Linked DNA regions of Drosophila melanogaster. Changing the gene in region 1 together with any one later gene gives a genetic interaction. Each region holds a gene or a part of one and is shown in the gene's direction. Other genes may lie near its edges.

Region 1 (7,893 bases):
CCCGCTCTTCGTACTCTACGTTTTCGTCTAATTCCTTGAAATCTGGTGCAAAGGCAGACCAGTTTTCCACTTGATTTTGGGCCCAAATGGATACCAGTCCGGAGCTAATGCTGGCAATAATAGGCCGCACAGGATGCCACACCACGTCCAAGAGCAGCTCACCCTTGGTGCCATGCAGGATCTTCACCAGGTTTCCAATAGACTTTTCCCATATGTAAAGAGCATGCTGGCGAGCACTGCCAGCGCAAATGTACTCCCCATCACCGGAGAAGCAGCACTTTTTCCAGGTGGTTCTAGATGGAATTGATATTGGTCAATCAAATGGTTATCAAGGGTTTGTTTCATAACATACTTATTGACCAAGTCCTGTAGCTTTTGTATAGGTTCCGGTTCGCCGTCTTTGCCTAGAGTGATTATTTCTTTTGAGTCGTAAACACGAATAACTCGATCTGAGGTGTTGATTAGAAATGCGCTGAAAGATAAATTTGTTACGTTATGAAATCCCGATTACTTATTAGTACCCACTCTCCACGCCTCGCAAACTCGATGCTTTTTACAGCCGTTGCACTTGAGGTGCCTACAATAATGCGAAAACTGGCGACCACCTCAAAGGTTTCAACATCCAGTACGAGTATTTTTCCCTTGGCGTTGCCTGTGTAGATGTGTTTGCCTCTGCGATCGAAAGAAGCCACGATGTTCAAGTCGCCCTGGTGAGAAACAAGGATTTCAATTAACAATCAAGCTGCGAAAAAGCAATGTGCAAACTCACATCGGAATCCAAGGGCAGGCAGCGGTGAGTTCCGCCGACCTCTACAAGAACGGCGGCATATCGCATGGGGCACACCAAAAGTCGGTTGTCATTTCGGGGATCGAACTGTACTTTCAGCACAGGCGATGGAAACCTATACTTGTGTTCCAGTTCGCCGGTTAGCACATCCCAAATGCACACATTGTTGTCCGTGGAAGCTGAAAGTAACTGGAGTGGATTGGAAAATGTAGATGATCAGGTGTACGGCGAGCGAGGGCCTACCTTGTGACCATTCCTGGTCCAACTGAGACTGCAAACGGGATGCACATGGGCCGAAATAATCTTGGCAATGCCCCTCGTCAGAAAATCCCAGATTACAATGCGGCCATCATTGCATCCCACGGCCAAAAGGGTTCCGTATTTGTTAAAGGCACACGTCACGGCCAACGAAATGCAATCCAGCGAGCCGTCGAACTCCTCTGGGTAGTTTTGTCCGAAAGATTCTTAATAAAGCTGGAGTTATTTACTACATAAGCATAAAAAATGGGCGGCAATCTCACCTAGTAGCTCCAAATTCATTTTTGTTTACTATCTTCTTCTTTTAAAATGGCAACTGACACTCACACCGAACGGCAATAACATATTATGTTATAAATGATAAGCATAACAGAAGACGAGTTTTTCGATAGTTAAGGTTATATTCTGTACAACTACTGAACATCAATTATTATATTATAATACGAATTTAAAAATCTACGTATCTACGTTGGTGTTTTTTGTGGTTTTATTAATAGAATAAGTTTAGTTAATTTTAGAGGTGAAATTAAATATTGAAATAGTTAAACATATAAAATAGATAAATTTGGTGAAGCGTAAGTAAATTTTAAACTGCATTAGTTATATCTTAATTCAAGTTCCCCACTAATTTATGAGCGTTAGATGCGATAGTGTTATGTCTGGCGCAAGCGATTGTCTCGACGTTTCTTCGATATTTTAAGATATCGATAATGTCATCGGAGATTTGCCACCCCTATTTTTTGAGCTCTGTGCACGTTGTATGAGAAAAATTTATGCAGATGTATTCGCCAATTGTAACCAAGTCCGGATTGTGAAATTGCACGCAGACAGCGAGCATCATAATAAGCGCTCTAATTGGAGAAGGCAGAAGTTTCGAATTAAGCCATTTCGGAGACGTTTCGTCCGTGGCACGCGATTGTGTCAACGTCACCTTTGGAGCACTCGCCCTCTCTCGCTCGCTCCCGCTTTCGTTGCCAATTTTTTGCTTGCCCTCTCTCGGTCACTCCCTTCGAAAGCTTAACGGTTAGAGTGTAATAATGAAATAACCCAGTTTCGAATTTCGTTCACAACAAAAGTGCGGGCCTTTCATGCCAAAATAACATTTGGTTTCGAATTGTTTTTCAAATTCGAATCGAGGTTTTCCAGCTTTCCAGTTTGACAGCGAGAGAACGAGAGAGAGCGAGGGCGAATTACGGTGTTCGCGCTCTGCTTGTGCTTTCCACTCCACTCCCCTTCTTAACTTCCCCCCTCCCAGCCTATTTACTCTGTGTGCATGTGTAAATGAATACTTTAAAACGTTTTTAATCGTTGCAGTGTATTCATCGCCAGCCACGTTAAAAGGAAGAACGTGTATGTGAATACGACCATCAGAGGATCTTAGCGAAGGATTCAGGAGCCCAAATTCTTAATCCCCATCCCACACACACACATATACTCGCACGTAGGCACGCTCTCTGTGAGAGGAAGGGTAAATAAAAGAAGCAACGAGCAAAATGTCTGGCGAGGAAACGTCTGCCGATCGCAATGTCGAGATCTGGAAAATCAAGAAGCTCATCAAGAGCCTGGAAATGGCCCGCGGGTGAGTCTTATCAATGATATACATGTCCTTTAACGTCCCCCCCAACGACTGTTTTGCGTACGTGTGTGGGGTATACACAATGCATGGCACGAAAACAACAACACTGGGGTGGAAGTGGGCGTACTGGACGTGGGTGTGGGTGGGGACTTGAGGGAGCGGCGAGTACAACCACCTTTCCTTGTTGTCGCCGTGTGAATCTCCTTTGCATTGTTTCCAATCTTGGCAAGATCCCCCGCCTCACTCTATCTCTCTTTTTTGCATACGAGCAACACGTTTTTGTCGAGTTTTTATCAGTTCAAACTAGACTGATTGAGAGACGGAGAGAGAGAGAGAGAGAGAGGAGTGAGTGAGTGAGTGAGTAATCGCCTCGTGGCTGTTGTGCGTATGCGTGCATGTGTGTGTGTGTTTTTCCCCCAAAATGGGCCAAGCTTTGTGGACCCCTCGCTCTCACTCATCCTGCCTCGCTCACTCCCTTGACCCGGTCCTTACCGCTTCACACCGCTTTAGAGTGGGTAACAAGGTCAGCAAATCGAGTGACCCCCACAGGAGCATATCTGCTATGTATATACATATATATGTATATTGTTGTCAATATGCTCCACAATTGGAGCTAACATTACACCTCTTCCAATTGGAGTTGGCCACTGTTGCCAATTGGGATTCGCTTTGACAGATATCTTCCTATTGGTTTTCAGCCATATGCGAAATATATACACACATATGTATTTGTTTTTCTTTTTTTAAGTTCTGTGCTATTTTTTGTTGTATTTTGCATTCCAACATTTTGTACAAATTACGATTGGCACTCCTCTGTATTATAACGAACGAGAAAATGATTTGCATCAGAGAAACAAACGTTTGGAAGTTACAGAAACGTATTTGTTTCAATAAATTAATCAAAGTTTAAATTTAGTCCAATAACCGAATGTCAAGTTTAAAAGACATATGCCACGAAATTTCACGGCTAATTAAATAACTTTAAAGTAGGTTGCTATTATGTGCATCTGACGCGCAAATATACGATTGAATAGCACTGTTGCTATGGGAGAAAGAGCCATTTCCGCGACTTATGTTCTCCCTTGTTTGGGTTTCTTGCAGCAATGGAACCAGCATGATTTCTTTGATTATTCCGCCAAAGGATCAAATCTCGCGCGTCAGCAAGATGTTGGCCGATGAGTTTGGAACGGCGTCGAACATCAAGTCGCGTGTAAATCGGTTGTCCGTCCTCGGTGCCATTACGTCGGTACAGCACAGACTCAAATTATACACCAAAGGTAAGCTGAGCTAAGAAATTGTTCATAAACAATCGAACAAACGAACTCTAAACCGTATCACCAACCGCTTCAATTCAGTGCCTCCCAACGGTTTGGTCATCTACTGCGGCACAATAGTCACAGAGGAGGGCAAGGAGAAGAAGGTGAACATAGACTTTGAGCCATTCAAGCCCATAAACACGTCGCTCTACCTCTGCGACAACAAGTTCCACACGGAGGCCCTCACTGCCCTGCTCGCCGACGACAACAAATTTGGATTCATCGTGATGGATGGTAACGGAGCGCTATTCGGTACCCTTCAGGGCAACACGCGCGAGGTGCTCCACAAGTTCACCGTCGATCTGCCGAAGAAGCACGGTCGTGGTGGTCAGTCCGCCCTTCGTTTCGCCCGTCTGCGTATGGAGAAGCGCCACAACTACGTGCGGAAGGTCGCCGAGGTGGCCACCCAGCTCTTCATCACGAACGACAAGCCCAACATTGCCGGACTCATCCTGGCTGGTAGTGCGGATTTCAAGACTGAGCTTAGTCAGTCTGATATGTTCGATCCTGTAAGTGGGAGTTAACCTATTTCCATCGATGCCATATTAAGCCTTACACTTGAATCTTTTTTCAGCGTTTGCAATCAAAAGTCATCAAGCTGGTGGACGTGTCGTATGGTGGGGAAAACGGTTTTAACCAGGCCATTGAACTGGCGGCCGAATCATTGCAGAACGTTAAATTCATACAGGAGAAGAAACTCATTGGTCGCTACTTTGATGAAATTTCTCAGGTGAGTTGCCGGATACGAGTTCTGAGGCATTTCGAAATTAAAAACCACATCCGTATGCTTTCTATATTTAAAAGGATACTGGCAAATACTGTTTTGGAGTGGAGGACACTTTGCGGGCACTGGAACTTGGCTCTGTAGAGACTCTCATTTGTTGGGAGAACCTGGATATTCAACGTTATGTTCTCAAGAATCATGCCAACTCGACGTCAACGACAGTATTACATTTGACGCCCGAGCAGGAAAAGGACAAGTCGCACTTCACTGACAAGGAGGTGAGAGCTAAACTGAGTAATGATACTAATCCGCACGCTAACTGGGAATTCAATCGTATAGAGCGGGGTAGAAATGGAGCTGATTGAGTCTCAGCCGCTGCTGGAATGGCTGGCAAACAACTACAAAATGTTCGGCGCCACACTGGAGATTATCACGGATAAGTCCCAGGAAGGAAGTCAGTTCGTGCGAGGTTTCGGTGGAATCGGCGGTAAGTTTGAGCGGCCAAACAGCACGGCTGGCTAGTTGTAGATTGGTTATGTACTAAACAAATGCTGCAACTATATCCATTCCTCTTCCCTCATGCTGCTTTCACACGGTCGTCAACGCTATAATGTAAATGTTAATTTGCAAACTGGTACCTCAATTCGATATGTAGGCATTTTGCGCTATAAAGTAGATTTCCAATCCCTACAGGCCGATGAGCCGCTGGAGGATGTCGATCTCGATGACTATTAAGCCTGTTAAGGGTGGGCTGCGAATGGGTCTCGATTATGCGTTACATACATAATAAACCAGTACTTTTTGGGAAACCTCGTAAAGCAAAACGTTCAAATTGATTAGGAACCAATTTACTTGCCACATAGTTTTACCTATGTTCAGCGTAGCCGTTCAATATTTATCACCAATAGGGTCCCTCTCATCAGTCGGATGGTGCATTCCCTTGTCGATCAGATCAGCGTGCATCTAGATATGTACCTATACGTTTTACCAAATTTTTTAATTAGTCGTGCACCAGGCGGAATCGCGTACTTTTAAGCAGCATATTAAATTCGTATTTCGTACTCGTAATTCGTAATTTGTATTTCAATGGTCATGTAAAAGCGATGCGATAGATATTAGCGCATTCTCCGTTCATCTGGTTCGATTTCGACTGCGGTATTAGGAGCAAAAGATCTTCGGTTAACTGCCACATGCCACTTTCGAACGTATCTGCATTTCCCCTATTCAAATTATAGCCGAGTGTTATAAGAAAGTATACAAATCTAATCCATAAAATTGTAATAAAAATTAAACCAGAATAAAAACACCACACAATGAGGATGGGGTATCCGTTTATATTCAGTCGCGAAGTACAACAAATATTTTATTTAGTGTATGAAAAGTTAAATGTGGATACAAAGGAGGTGAGAATCTGAGTTTCGGTTGAACTATCCTGTGTGTTGATCCTTTTGTTTTTTCCTCTTCATTTATTTTTCAATTTTCAATCAGCTTCTGTTCTTCTATTTTTTTTTTTTTTTTGTTTCTTATTTTAATTTAATTCAATTGCTGGGTGTGCCTCTGCAGGTATCTTACGCTACAAGGTGGATTTCCAGAGTATGCAGCTCGATGAATTGGACAATGATGGCTTCGATCTAGATGATTACTAGGAAATGTATCTGTAGAAATGAATTTGCCACTACGTTCGACCGCAAACTGAACTGCAACTACAACTATATGAATCCAGGAAATCAAATAGAATATTTAAATAATATGAGAAAACACAAACCTTCTTCCATTTTTACGTTGTTGGCGAAAAAAGTAAAATTTTAAATAATGCATATAGATACAAACGATAAAATGTTAAATCGAGGAAAACATATTAAAATGCAACCGTTTTACGTGAACAAATTTGCAATTTGAATATATTTTCGAGGGACTAGAGCTCTTGTTATATAATTAATTGTTCCTCTATAAATCTAAATCTAAATCTACATTGACAATACGCCACGTTTCCTAAAGTTTTTGGGTACAAGGAGAATTGTATCTGTGAGTTTTAATCGTTCTATTATAGCTTGAAAACGAAATTTGCACCGAAAGCTGATAAAATTCCGACTCTGCTATCTGCTGGATAAGTAAAATGCTGGTAGCCACTTGGAGTACTACCAGTACAGCAATGAAAGTAAAGTGAAATGGGCATTTCATTTTCTACTTTCTATTTGCAGGCACACTGGAAACAGTTTACTGCGAGATTCCCACTTCATTAGTTGGCAATGCACGTGGACGACAGCAAAAAGCACTCGTAGTACTTGTTTCGCCCTTGATTTGCATCTAAGAATCGCTCAGATACATCTGGTGAGCTGAAACTCGTTTCTGAGCCGCAGTGTCGTGCAGGTATCCGTACTCGTTTGAATATTTGTAAGTAATCATTGCAGCGAGACTTCCAAAAAGTAAGCTCAGCTAAGTTCTGCGGTGTTGGGCATCCAATTAGTTGACCAAGTTTTCTGGTGGCATGCACATGAAACTTGTTTAATCGATAGGGTAAATATGCAAATTTCGATTGAATTTGACGATAATGCGTCGAGATGAAAAGAAAACGAATTGTGCAGGATTTTGGTTACGAGATAAGCCGAATCAGCTAATAAGGCACGTGCTTAATTGATATATATTGTATGTTTAAGTAACCTAAATATGCACGACTTTAATATCACTTTTATTTCGCTTTCGTAATAAAACGAGGTTCACTCTAAAGAGCACAAGCGTGGAGGTGTATGTGTGTTCTTACAGCCCCGATCATTTGTATTTCCATTTGAGTGCGAGCGAAGACGAGGGTTTACAACTTGATGAGAATTTGATCAAGATAACATTAAAACACAATCTGCTGCAGTCGGACGGGGCACTTCTGATTGAATCGTCGACGGAAGAGGTTCGGATCTCGAAAGCCAAAAATAATCAGCCTTTTACTGGCCAATTGAGATACGGAAACTTCTACCGACCGAGTGTAGTATGGCTGAATCAGTGGATGGAGCAGAGACTGTTGACCAGATTCGCGATGGCCTCATGGACGACTGGAAGATCCTGGAGAACGTATTCCACCTTCTCCGGAAGGAGGATACCTTCTGCGTGGATCCCCAGAAATGGGACAAGCAGAAGATAGTCCCCTTTTTGCAGCCAGACAAACTTAAGGTGAGTGGAGCAAGTGATAGACGATTCGGCGTCTGCCGATGTGGAGATAACCAGAGATAACAGAGAACTG
Region 2 (6,791 bases), on another chromosome or scaffold:
GTTTCTTTGGTATGTTTTGGCACCCTGACAAGTTCGTTGTTTGAGTCTTTTGTTTGGCCGGCAGCTACGAAGCTGAGAAAAAGCCATTAGAGATCGAAAAGTAACCGAAACAGAAATAGAAACAGAAACAGTAGCCGAAGTGGTGGAAAGCCAAAGCTCATTAGCAGTTACCATTTTATCCAAACAGACGCATCATTATCATTAAGGGCAAACGGGAAAGCAGCAAAAGCAGCCACAGCAACAATAGCAACCACAGCAGCAGCATCAGAAACAAGTTGAAAACTTTAATTAACGCATTTTTACGCAACTGTCGGCAGCAGTTTAACCCTTTTCGTGGCCAAATGCTGAGCAAACACGACAACGGTAATAATTGAAAATCATGGCAATCAAAGCGGAAAGTGTGTAGGGGAATGGAACGGTGTGGAAGGGTGGAAGTTGAGCGGAAAATCAACAGCTGCCGACGGCAACAGCGGAATGTGTAAGAGGAAGATGGTCAAAGGGGGTGTGCGAGAGAGAGGCAGCAGCCATTGTTGTCATGCGTGAGAGAGCAGGGCAGAGTGAGCGAGAAGCGCACAGTGCGAGAGCGAGTGAGACAACTATCTATTCGAAGTTCGAAATTCAAAAGGGGAAATAGATTTGGCTCCGTTCCAGTTTCCAGTTTTTCCAACTTCGACTTTTAATGGCTGACCGCAGACTGGAAGGTGCGTTCGAACCGGTTAAGATCGAATCGAAACGGTTAAGACCACTCAACGGAATTTCAATTTATGCATCTGAGCTGTTCAAATATATTTATTAATTTATATTCGATTCAAGTCCATTTGATACTTATAAAAATGCGCATAAAAATTGAATAAATTTCGGCCCATTGATTGTGGAACAGGTTAACCACGAAATTTGCTCTAAATATGGATTATGGCTTATTGTTTGGGCGTTAGTTTGTTGGCGCGAATTGCTTATGTCACAATTGGCAACAGGAAATGTGGGAGTGTGAGTGGTGGCGAGATTACTCTCTAATTAAATCCTTTGCCCCATAAATCAGTAGCCCACATGGCAACGATCGCTTTTATTATGCAAAAATTAACACAACAAAATCTGCTAGCTATAAGGCAATTCATTAGCGATTTCGTTATTTGATTTCGGTTTTATTCACATCGAACAGATTCGTTGATTTATGAGCTATATATCAGTGGTTATATGTTCGGAATCCCACATCTATACACTATTTGCAGCACATGTTTCACATTTGTAGATCGTCGGTTGATTAGAGCCCCACAAAAAAGCGTTATTGTTAATGTCCAATGCCAAATGGCGTTCGTTTTTAACACCTTCTAAGGTTTATTTTGACAGTTAGCGATGGTTTTTCATTCGCTCGTCTGGCAAATCGATATTCGATGGGCAAATAAATAAATTAAATGTCAATTAAATATCAATCAATTTCGTCAGCTGTTTTTCAAGGCACATTTAACTGGTTAATTGAAGGCCTCAAAAATAAATTGTCATCGTGTATTTAGCGTATTTTTGTGAAAAATCGCAAATGATACTGGTGGTGGGAGTGGGGGTGATAAAAAGTTTCCCTTCATTTAAATTAAAACAATTAGCTTTGCGGTTTTTTTCCTCTCTTTCGATTCCCCCTCTACACATGGCCTAAAGGTGGTGTCGATAAAGTTGTAGGCTGTAGAAAACGCAGATTGAAACGTCGCGGCCGAAAACAAAATCAACAAAAACTAAATGCTTATGAAAAGTGTCTGTGGAAAGAGATGGCATGTGGCTCTCCCCCTCATGGAAAGGCAGCCATTTTCCTGGCCTACTCGCAGAGGGAGTGAACAGTGCCGCTATATGACCCCCACTCGGTAACGCCCCGTGAGAGAGGGAGAGCTTGCGCCTGCGCAGTTCGCTGGGGACACAGTTGTCAACCGGCTGACAGCTCCAGCATGCGCATAATAAAGTCATATTGCTGCCTAACAAGCCCCCCTCGCCAAATTGGCAAGAGAGAGTGAGAGCGAGAGGGAGCGAGCGAGAGAGCGCTCTGGCCAGCTAATAGGAGTGAGTGAGCCGGCGAAACCGGTTCGCATGGGGCAGGTGACAAGGCTAAGAGAGAGCGAAAATCGATCAGTGTAAGGCCGAAAAGACACATCTTCTACTCTCATCTCTTCATGTCACTGTCACCAACTGCTGTCACTCACTCACTCGCTCGCTCGCACACACTTCGCCAGCTACTTGTGGGATCTCGCCCTCTCGCTCCCGCACTCGGACCTCTCTTTCCACCGTGACAGTTCAATCGGCTCTCGCGTTAACTCTCCCCGACGTCGGCGCTGCGATTCCGAAGTAGTCAACTAATTCAGTCGTTGCGCTCGATGTGAACAGACGTGCGTGTCGGAACAACAGTTGCAAATCAAACACGAAAGCATAAGCCAAACAAAAAACACCAAACAGAGAAGAGAATCAGAAGATTCTGAGCAATCAGAAGAATCAGTGGCTCAGTGTCAAGTGACCCAGTGACAAGTGTCTTAAGCGAGTTGCGATTTAGCACCAAGTCGAAACCAATGGCCCTGGAGGATCGCTGCAGTCCACAGTCAGCGCCCAGCCCCATTACCCTACAAATGCAGCATCTTCACCACCAGCAACAGCAGCAGCAGCAACAGCAGCAGCAAATGCAGCACCTCCACCAGCTGCAGCAACTGCAGCAGTTGCACCAACAGCAACTGGCCGCCGGTGTCTTCCACCATCCGGCAATGGCCTTCGATGCCGCTGCAGCCGCCGCTGCTGCAGCTGCTGCTGCGGCCGCCCACGCTCATGCTGCTGCACTGCAGCAGCGCCTCAGTGGCAGTGGATCGCCCGCATCCTGCTCCACGCCCGCCTCGTCCACGCCGCTGACCATCAAGGAGGAGGAAAGCGACTCCGTGATCGGTGACATGAGTTTCCACAATCAGACGCACACCACCAACGAGGAGGAGGAGGCGGAGGAGGATGACGACATTGATGTGGATGTGGATGATACGTCGGCGGGCGGACGCCTGCCACCACCCGCCCACCAGCAGCAGTCGACGGCCAAGCCCTCGCTGGCCTTTTCCATCTCCAACATCCTGAGCGATCGTTTCGGAGATGTCCAGAAGCCGGGCAAGTCGATGGAGAACCAGGCCAGCATATTCCGCCCCTTCGAGGCGAGTCGTTCCCAGACTGCCACGCCCTCCGCCTTTACAAGAGTGGATCTGCTGGAGTTTAGCCGGCAACAGCAGGCTGCCGCCGCAGCCGCTACTGCGGCCATGATGCTGGAACGGGCCAACTTCCTTAACTGCTTCAATCCGGCTGCCTATCCCAGGATACACGAGGAAATCGTGCAGAGTCGGCTGCGCAGGAGTGCAGCCAATGCCGTCATCCCGCCGCCCATGAGCTCCAAGATGAGCGATGCCAATCCAGAGAAATCTGCTCTGGGATCCCTGTGCAAGGCGGTCTCGCAGATCGGACAACCTGCTGCCCCTACGATGACCCAACCTCCGCTGAGTAGCAGTGCCAGCAGCTTGGCCAGTCCGCCACCCGCCTCCAATGCCTCGACCATTAGCAGCACCTCTTCCGTGGCCACCAGCTCGAGCTCCTCCTCGTCGGGTTGCTCCTCGGCGGCCAGTTCCTTGAACTCCTCGCCCAGTAGCCGACTGGGAGCCAGTGGATCCGGAGTCAATGCCAGCAGTCCCCAGCCGCAGCCAATCCCGCCGCCATCCGCCGTTAGCCGAGATTCCGGAATGGAGTCCTCGGATGACACGCGTTCCGAGACGGGATCCACCACCACAGAGGGCGGCAAGAACGAGATGTGGCCCGCCTGGGTGTACTGCACCCGCTACAGCGATCGTCCCAGCTCAGGTTAGTATCTATGCGATTACCTAGCGTTTAAGTGGGTCAGAAAGAGGGTTCGTCGGGCACCATCTTCAGTGTTGTCAAAACAAGGAAGTCCCAAAGGTTCGTTAAAAAAAAAAAGATGTGAAAATGGTAAATGGTATATGGTTACATGGGGACCACCCTTGGGGAGCGTTATGTTGGCGGCAGCCTTTCAAGCAGCTCTGTTTTGTGTCATAAATCCGAAGGACACTGCCACAATTAGGCGACACGCGGACAATGGCAATGAGCCCGAATCTGACTCCCATTTCTATAACCATGCCCATTCCCATTCCCATTTCGTATCCGAATCCGAATCCGATTTTGGGCCTCACGCAGTGCTGCGCTGCTTTTGAAGAGCGACACTTTATGTGACAACATGTAGCGCAGAGCCAGCGCTTGTCTATCGGAACTGTTAGATCCTCAGGTCGAAGGTCACCGCTCACGCACACACGCCACGCAGAAGCCGAGACCCTAAAACGCGCTGACGATTGACAGGGGAAAAGTAGGTGCGGGGGAGATATGATGGCGGGGGAAGCCCCTTCGAAAGGAGAAGAGTTTTCCATTGACAAGCGGAGATTTTCCTTGCAGCTCTTCTTAGATCGTGTGTTAATTGACGAGTTAAGTGCTTTTTTATGGTCGGCAATGGTTTTTTAATTTGGTGTCGATGCAATCGATGGCAGCCCATAAGCGAGGCGTTGATGGCCCCACTCCGCGGCTAGGAATTAATCAAACGATCTCCACTTACTGGCGGTCAATTAAATTATAATTTACAATGTGTGGAAATCTAATAAGCACTACGGATTGCTGCGGTGCCGCGTTGCCAATTAGCCGGTGACTTGGACTTAGTCGCTAATTAGAGAGTTGGCTAGCTGGCAAATCATTTGCCTAAAATATGCCGTAGACCTTTGGGTTCGTTAACTCGCCGGAGTTCTACTCTTCTCTTGCGCTGACAGCTGACAAATTGAACACTTCCCCGCCAGCACGCGAAAGGGAGCTCCAGCTCCGGCCGAGGAATTCCGCCCAGACATATGCTAATTGAATCATTAATATTATTAATAGTATGTGGCGCATTTATGCAAATAGAACTAACGTATTTCTCGTGTTTTTGTTTATTCCAGGACCCCGCTACCGCCGCCCCAAACAGCCAAAGGACAAGACCAACGACGAGAAGCGTCCACGCACCGCGTTCTCCAGCGAGCAGTTGGCCCGCCTTAAGGTGAGATTCAGTTCTTTTTTCCATATATGGTTATATGGTTATACCAATATCCATCCATATCCATATCCAATTGCCCTACGCTTGTTGTGTCATATTTGCACCAAAATATTGACACCGCCCGCTGCTAATGCATCCTGGCAATGTGGTGTCCCGTCCGTACTTAACCAATCAGCCACGCTCGGCCGAAACCGCAAATAATTGATTTTCCCTACCTGACTATACAACATGGATATCCTTGCCATCCGAAACTCATCCAGCATTCCATTTCTTCCACTTACAGCGGGAGTTCAACGAGAATCGCTATCTGACCGAGCGGAGACGCCAGCAGCTGAGCAGCGAGTTGGGCCTGAACGAGGCGCAGATCAAGATCTGGTTCCAGAACAAGCGGGCCAAGATCAAGAAGTCGACGGGCTCCAAAAATCCGCTGGCACTGCAGCTGATGGCCCAGGGATTGTACAACCACACCACCGTGCCGCTGACCAAGGAGGAGGAGGAGCTCGAGATGCGCATGAACGGGCAGATCCCCTAAGCGCTGACCAATGGTTACCCATAAGGGGTTACTCCTTCTGACGGGGGCGTGCAATATTCGAGGGCGTACAAATGGTTTTCATGTGATATAATTGTAGCGTACATATGTTTTTGTATATATCTCTAAAAATATATATATATATACGTATAATCCTAACCTAGAGTAAGACCCATCCGTAGCGAATTCGAGCTGTAAGTTGTTGGCGTATTTATTTAACCACCCCTGGATAGCCGAAAGTATTATCGTAATCACCCGACACAAAGCCTATCGCTATCGCCGCACTTCAAAAGCTTCGACCTTCAGACGTTTATTCCTACACAAAACACTATCTATAGTTATTACTCCCTATAAATTACGCGCTTGCAACCGCTCTGTAAATTAAGTAACTTAACAGTTCCCTAGCTTAATTCCTAGTTTACACACTTAAGGATTGCTATGAAAGAGTATTTTAGTTTCTAAGCGAAATGTTAACGAGCAACTAATAGCTGGCAAATGCACCTAAGAAAATAACAACGAAATGTTTGTGCTAAAGCAAGTTCATGAAAAGAAAATTAAAAACAAAATAAAAGAATTATGGAAAAAAATTAAAATGCAATTGGTTTCCTCTGGGAATTGGAAGTCTGCTACATTAAAGGAAAATATGCCACCCATATATCGGAGGACATGCGGTCTAATCGGTGGCCTTATTTGTACTTTGTGTAGGGCGCCATTATCTTCTCTACGCTTTTTCATCTGTCACATCAAAGGCTATAGAACATTAAATCACGAACACTTGTCGTCGGGCGAGGGTGCCGCTAATTGCACAATCACATTCCGAACCAAAATCGGAGGCCGTCGACGAGTAACGGCAGCTCTTGCTCTTCGATTCCATTCCGTTTAATTAAAGCCAAATCCGCGCGTAGTATAAACAAATATCTGTGACGAGACAGAAGCCCAACAAACAGAAAGAAAAAAAAAAATGCAAAACTAAAGCGGCAGGGAGCAGTCATCAAATGATTTATTGGCACAGATCTCGCGGCGAGCGGCGTTAATTTGCTGAAAATAAATGCAAACGCGAAATGCAATGCAAAATTGTGGGAGGGGGCGGGATGAGCAGCTGACATTTACTGGCAAGCGTTGATGTGCACATACAATACACACACACACATGCACGGCTGTATGAAGCGCATATGAATT
Region 3 (4,764 bases), on another chromosome or scaffold:
CTTGTAAATAATTTTTTTTTTTTCTTCAATTTTGTTACTTTCGTTTTTCAACTGGATTTCCCTGACTTTTCAACAGACCGGTCTGTTTGATCCGCACTGTGATCCTTTCACGCGCTCTGTTATTTTCCGACTGCAAGTGAAATTCCGACGGACGTTTTTCATTTGGCGCCAAAGTGTTCGGCACCACGAATTTCCCCTCCTTCCAGCTTCCAGTTTCGAACTGCTTTCGCACTGGAACTGGAAGGCCTTCTAGCCGGGCGAACATACACACGCACACGAACAATTTCCAATTGGGCGCCTGCGCCAATTGTAAACAAAGAACAGCTGTTCGAACATAGTACATATATTCGTTTTCATTGACGATGGAGCATAGTATAACACAGGGGGGGGGGGGTGCAGGGGGGTTAACTCTGAACATAAGGATGAGTGATGTGATTAGGGTGGTCACGCGTGCGGCTCTAATAAATATCAATGATTTGTGAAAATTCTTAAAAGAAACAAACCACATTTATTGAAAGTCGTTTAGGCCAAACATCGTATATCTTCCCATATGAATTTAAATTGAAGGGCGGCCGTTGGCGTTTTGGGGCTGGCAAATGAGGCTCAAGGCCACGCCTTTTACTTGTCACTTTGGCTGGGAATTCTCACAGCTGTCAGCCAAAATCCCATCCACTTGACATCGCCATCGCCAATGTTCTGCGATATGTTCTTCTTTTCTTCACATATGTACATATTTTCGCCAGCACTTAATTTCCTTTGAAGCCGCATTATTTCAGCCTTTCGACACCAGGCGTTACGAGGCGTTGCGGCTCGAACAGCTTTCGACTGGGCCCAAAGTGTCTGCCTTAAATGAATCGGAAACATTAATGGCTGTATCAAAGAATAGGACGCCTTCATTTAAACGTCTTCATTTAATTCATCGAATTTGCTATTTTTATGCATATGAATATTAAATTAAGTCGAAACATTACTATCATTGGAATGGATACGATTCTATGTGCAGTAATTAAAATGTGTTTCAACAGAGTACATATCTTAGAATCAAACTTCATCTATAATTTAGAATAATTTTTAAACCATGAATTAAATGTTTATCTTCGTTATTTTCGCTGCGAGTTGCAGCAGCTAGTTTATAAGGTTTGTGTGTTCGTCCCACCAAGTTTATGATTATTAAAATATATTATAATGACATGTTTATATTTTTAGCAACTCCTTATAATTAATTTATCAAATCGCCTAAATCAATGCTTTTCCACTGAAGCACCATGTTGTTTTTTGATATTGCATACATTTAGGCTTAGAAAAGTATTACCTTTTTATCAATTGTGTGGATAATCTTAAAAATGTAAATTAGCAAACTGATAAAACAGACAACCCAGGTATTATCACAGCGCAGGTAAGCCAAGTAAATAACGCTTATCATCTGGAGCTCCTGCTATTGGCATTTAAGCTTTGGACACACACACACACACACAATACTGATAAGGCGACTCTCTTAGCGAACTCTCTTCGCTGCTCTGTGAGTGGGAAAAGAAAAAAGGTAAACAGACAAGTTGAAAGGCGATTTTCGATTGAAACGAAACGGCTGGTCGAATTGAAAGCCACTTACGTCGCTCTTTGGCTCTCTCATTTGTGCGCCAAAAGAGAGCTCACTTTGGGTGTGCTCTTGGCGTTCGGGCTTTTGGCTTTGGCTTTGGCTTTTGGGGGCCTAACGGATTCTCGCTGGCTCTGTTTGTCCGTGAACGCCGACGTCGACGCACGCCTCTCGTTTTCGCGCGCTTCTCGCACTTCTCGGTAAATGCGCAAAAAAGCCAGCAACGAAATCAAATCAAGTCAAATCGCAACGCATGGTGAATAACATGTCCGTTTTATTAATAGATTCCGCAACAGCCATATAGCGCATATTTCGAAAGAGATATATAATATATATGAAATAAAGTGAGGCCCTCGGATGAAACAGTGTTGATAAGGAGTGTACATACATACACACACGCAGCACATAAAACTGAAAGAATTCGCGGCGCGCGCGATTTAGTTGCGAATATTGCGTATACGCAGGGTCTGTCAAAAGTAATACAAATCAAACAAAACCTACCACAACAAAAATAAGGAACGGCATATCAAACCGAACATTTCCGAATTGAGGTTTTTTTTACACAGCGAGCAGAGGATACGCCTACATGGATTTATATAGCACAATTACAGCAACCAAGGATACTGAGACTTGGGCAGGATAGCAGCGATGCCAGCCAGCGGGTTGCAATCTCCACCAGGTCGACAGGCAAGCGGCATATCAGGATAATACCAGGGACTTGGACATCATGGCTCCTCTATTTGTCTAGTTGGCAAATACCAGCGAACCGGGAACCAGGCCACACACACACACACCCATACACTCGCTTACACACACAAACACACACACACGCGCGCGCTCATACGCTCAGACAAACAAGGACGCTTGTCATTGTGTGCGTCAAGGACGTCGACACACGTACAAGCTTTGTTGCTGTTGTGCCATACAAACAGACCAGAACCAGTGTCGCAAGTGGGCGTGCCAGCGGGTAGGCGGCCTCTGATTAAATATACATCAGTCAAGCGCAAGGATCCTAATTTCCAGCAGTATTGTTCTGTGCAAAAGGACAACGGGACAGCGGACAGCGGACAGCGCCAAAACGGGACACCAACTTTGAAGCAGGGAAAATGGCGCGACGCAAGGGCAGCGGTCGAGGCAGTAAGTACATTTTCCTGTTAATTATTCAAATCAAGCGTGAGTTCGAAAATATGCCAGCGAAATTCCGGGAAATTGCCTCTTCTCAAGGATTTTAAGCTATTTTGCAAACGTTTCCATAAAGTGTTTACAAGGAAAAGGGACCCAATATCCACAATTTCTATGCTGACTTTTCTTTGGAATCTTTATATTTAGTGGTTCTATTATAAGATCGAACTTTGACTGCTTTGTTCTTGATAACAAATTCACTCCAAGTAGTTTGTTGATTATTAAAAGAACTCCAGCGGTCTTAAAAAAATTGGGCTTCAGCTCAAGGACGACGAGTTTCACAGCTGCCATATGGCAAGACAGTAAGTCCTTGCTTCAGAGCTTCAAAGAATCTCGTCAAGTGCAGTGATTTTTTCTTGGCGGCTCAAAGGGAAAAATATGTAATTAAGAATGTATGTAGTATTCAGCCACGCCCCCACTCGAAACCTCTGGCTGTATCTATAAGATATATATTTTTTTGCATTATTATTTGTGTGCCATGAGTGCTCCACTCGCAAGAGAGAGAGAGAGAGAGAGGGACGGGGCGAGAGCAAAGAGAGGGAGGGCATGCATAAAACATGAAACAACAGCGTCAGTAGTCACTTTTCATTGCATTGCGCCCACGCCCAACCACCCACAGTCCCCTTATCATTTTAATTCAGTTGCGTTGGCGCGCGCGCTGCAAAATGTTGGGGATTCCCTTACGTAATCCCCCAGCGCACACAAAAGGCAAACAAACAAACAGGCACACAAACAAACGCACACTCACAGGGCAGCGGCAAACAAAACAAAAACACAAACGAAATGGGCAAAAGAAAGGGGGAAAAACAGAGAGCTGAAATAAAGGAAAACAGAAAGCGGGTGAAAAGCAGAGAAGCTGAAAAACAGAAGAAAAAAAAAACGTAAAAACAGACGCAAACAAGGCAGCTTGTTTGCCAGCCAGTCGCAATCGGAATTGCCCCATGTAAAATGGTCTGAAAATCAAGCTCAGCCAGCGTCATGAACTTTTGGCGCAGCTCACCCGCTCAACAGGCAGCCTAGCTCACAGATACGCAGATACAAAGATACAGATACAAAAGGCGCACAGTCACAGATACTCGACTTGCACATCCACAATCGCTATAGCCGAGATACTTTGCGTCACGTCACGCCGCCTGTTAGTCAAGTTGCTCTGTGCGCTGCGTTACTCATGCCACAATTTGAACCTATTAAAAAGCCAGATACTTTCTTGTGCCCGCCCCAACCCGCGACATCCGCAGATACTTTTGCCAAATGAGATACAAGTGTGCTGCCTGGCTTTTGATATATGCCAAGTACTGCTCGCTGGGCGGATACAGTGCGCATTCCATCAGCTGCAGCTAAATGCTTTAAATGAATTTACTTTTCATTTCAAAACCAAACCGACTAGGCAACCAGTAATTGAATATATTCAATCCGATCAATCACTTTTTTTTTATTGAACTTGATTTAATTAATATGTCACAACGTGAGCGTTTTATTTCGCCTTTTGAAACAATAAACCAGTAATTAAATATAACATTCTTAAATAAATATATTAAAACTATTTTATAGCATTTTAAACCAATTATGCTGAAATGTTATAAATATTTATATTCGAAATATTATTGTTTTAATAACAATAATAACAACTTAACTTTTTAAACAATGTTGTTGAGACTTTAACTCAACCATTTTGTTTTGTAAACCATGACCAATTGAAAATACTTGGCAACTTGGAGAGAGATTATTTGAAATACTTCTTAAATATATTTCAAAATCATCAAACCTTTAACATGAAAGTCGTCCTTCCATGGAGTACCCACTGTAGCAGGCGCAACATGCTCAAAGAGTTTGGCTCCAACTTGACTTCCAGCTGCCGATGGGTTTTGGTTTTGGTATGCAGACGACTTTGGGTATGGGTTTGAGTATGGTTGGGGGAATGGGAATAGGAATGGGTATGGGTTTGGGTTTTGAGTTTGAGTTTGATCTTTGAGGTTGGGTAGCTGGGC

Evidence for each region.
Region 2: of eRF1 (region 1) and en, changing one suppresses a phenotype caused by changing the other (phenotypic suppression), as found in Drosophila melanogaster (one study listed by BioGRID).
Region 3: of eRF1 (region 1) and shn, changing one suppresses a phenotype caused by changing the other (phenotypic suppression), as found in Drosophila melanogaster (one study listed by BioGRID).

Annotation. Positions count from the first base shown.
Region 1 is NT_037436.4:20,346,583-20,354,475, forward strand, and holds eRF1 (eukaryotic translation release factor 1), read left to right. Parts: upstream 1-1,772; 5' UTR 1,773-1,803; exon of another isoform or gene 1,804-2,359; 5' UTR 2,360-2,538; coding exon 2,539-2,624; intron 2,625-3,722; coding exon 3,723-3,898; intron 3,899-3,976; coding exon 3,977-4,446; intron 4,447-4,511; coding exon 4,512-4,667; intron 4,668-4,741; coding exon 4,742-4,939; intron 4,940-5,000; coding exon 5,001-5,148; intron 5,149-5,316; coding exon of another isoform or gene 5,317-5,396; exon of another isoform or gene 5,397-5,678; intron 5,679-6,224; coding exon of another isoform or gene 6,225-6,307; exon of another isoform or gene 6,308-6,545; intron 6,546-6,862; coding exon 6,863-6,972; 3' UTR 6,973-7,291; downstream 7,292-7,893. Other genes in the region: Rbbp5 (retinoblastoma binding protein 5), read right to left, coding at 1-293, 353-472, 526-707, 770-976, 1,031-1,251, 1,309-1,327; CG5618 (uncharacterized protein), read left to right, coding at 7,644-7,823.
Region 2 is NT_033778.4:11,523,423-11,530,213, reverse strand, and holds en (engrailed), read left to right. Parts: upstream 1-2,003; 5' UTR 2,004-2,543; coding exon 2,544-3,855; intron 3,856-4,988; coding exon 4,989-5,086; intron 5,087-5,366; coding exon 5,367-5,615; 3' UTR 5,616-6,208; downstream 6,209-6,791. UniProt on the Drosophila melanogaster protein: This protein specifies the body segmentation pattern. It is required for the development of the central nervous system. Transcriptional regulator that represses activated promoters. Wg signaling operates by inactivating the SGG repression of EN autoactivation.
Region 3 is NT_033778.4:11,172,075-11,176,838, forward strand, and holds the start of shn (schnurri), read left to right. Parts: upstream 1-1,728; 5' UTR 1,729-2,700; coding exon 2,701-2,731; intron 2,732-4,764.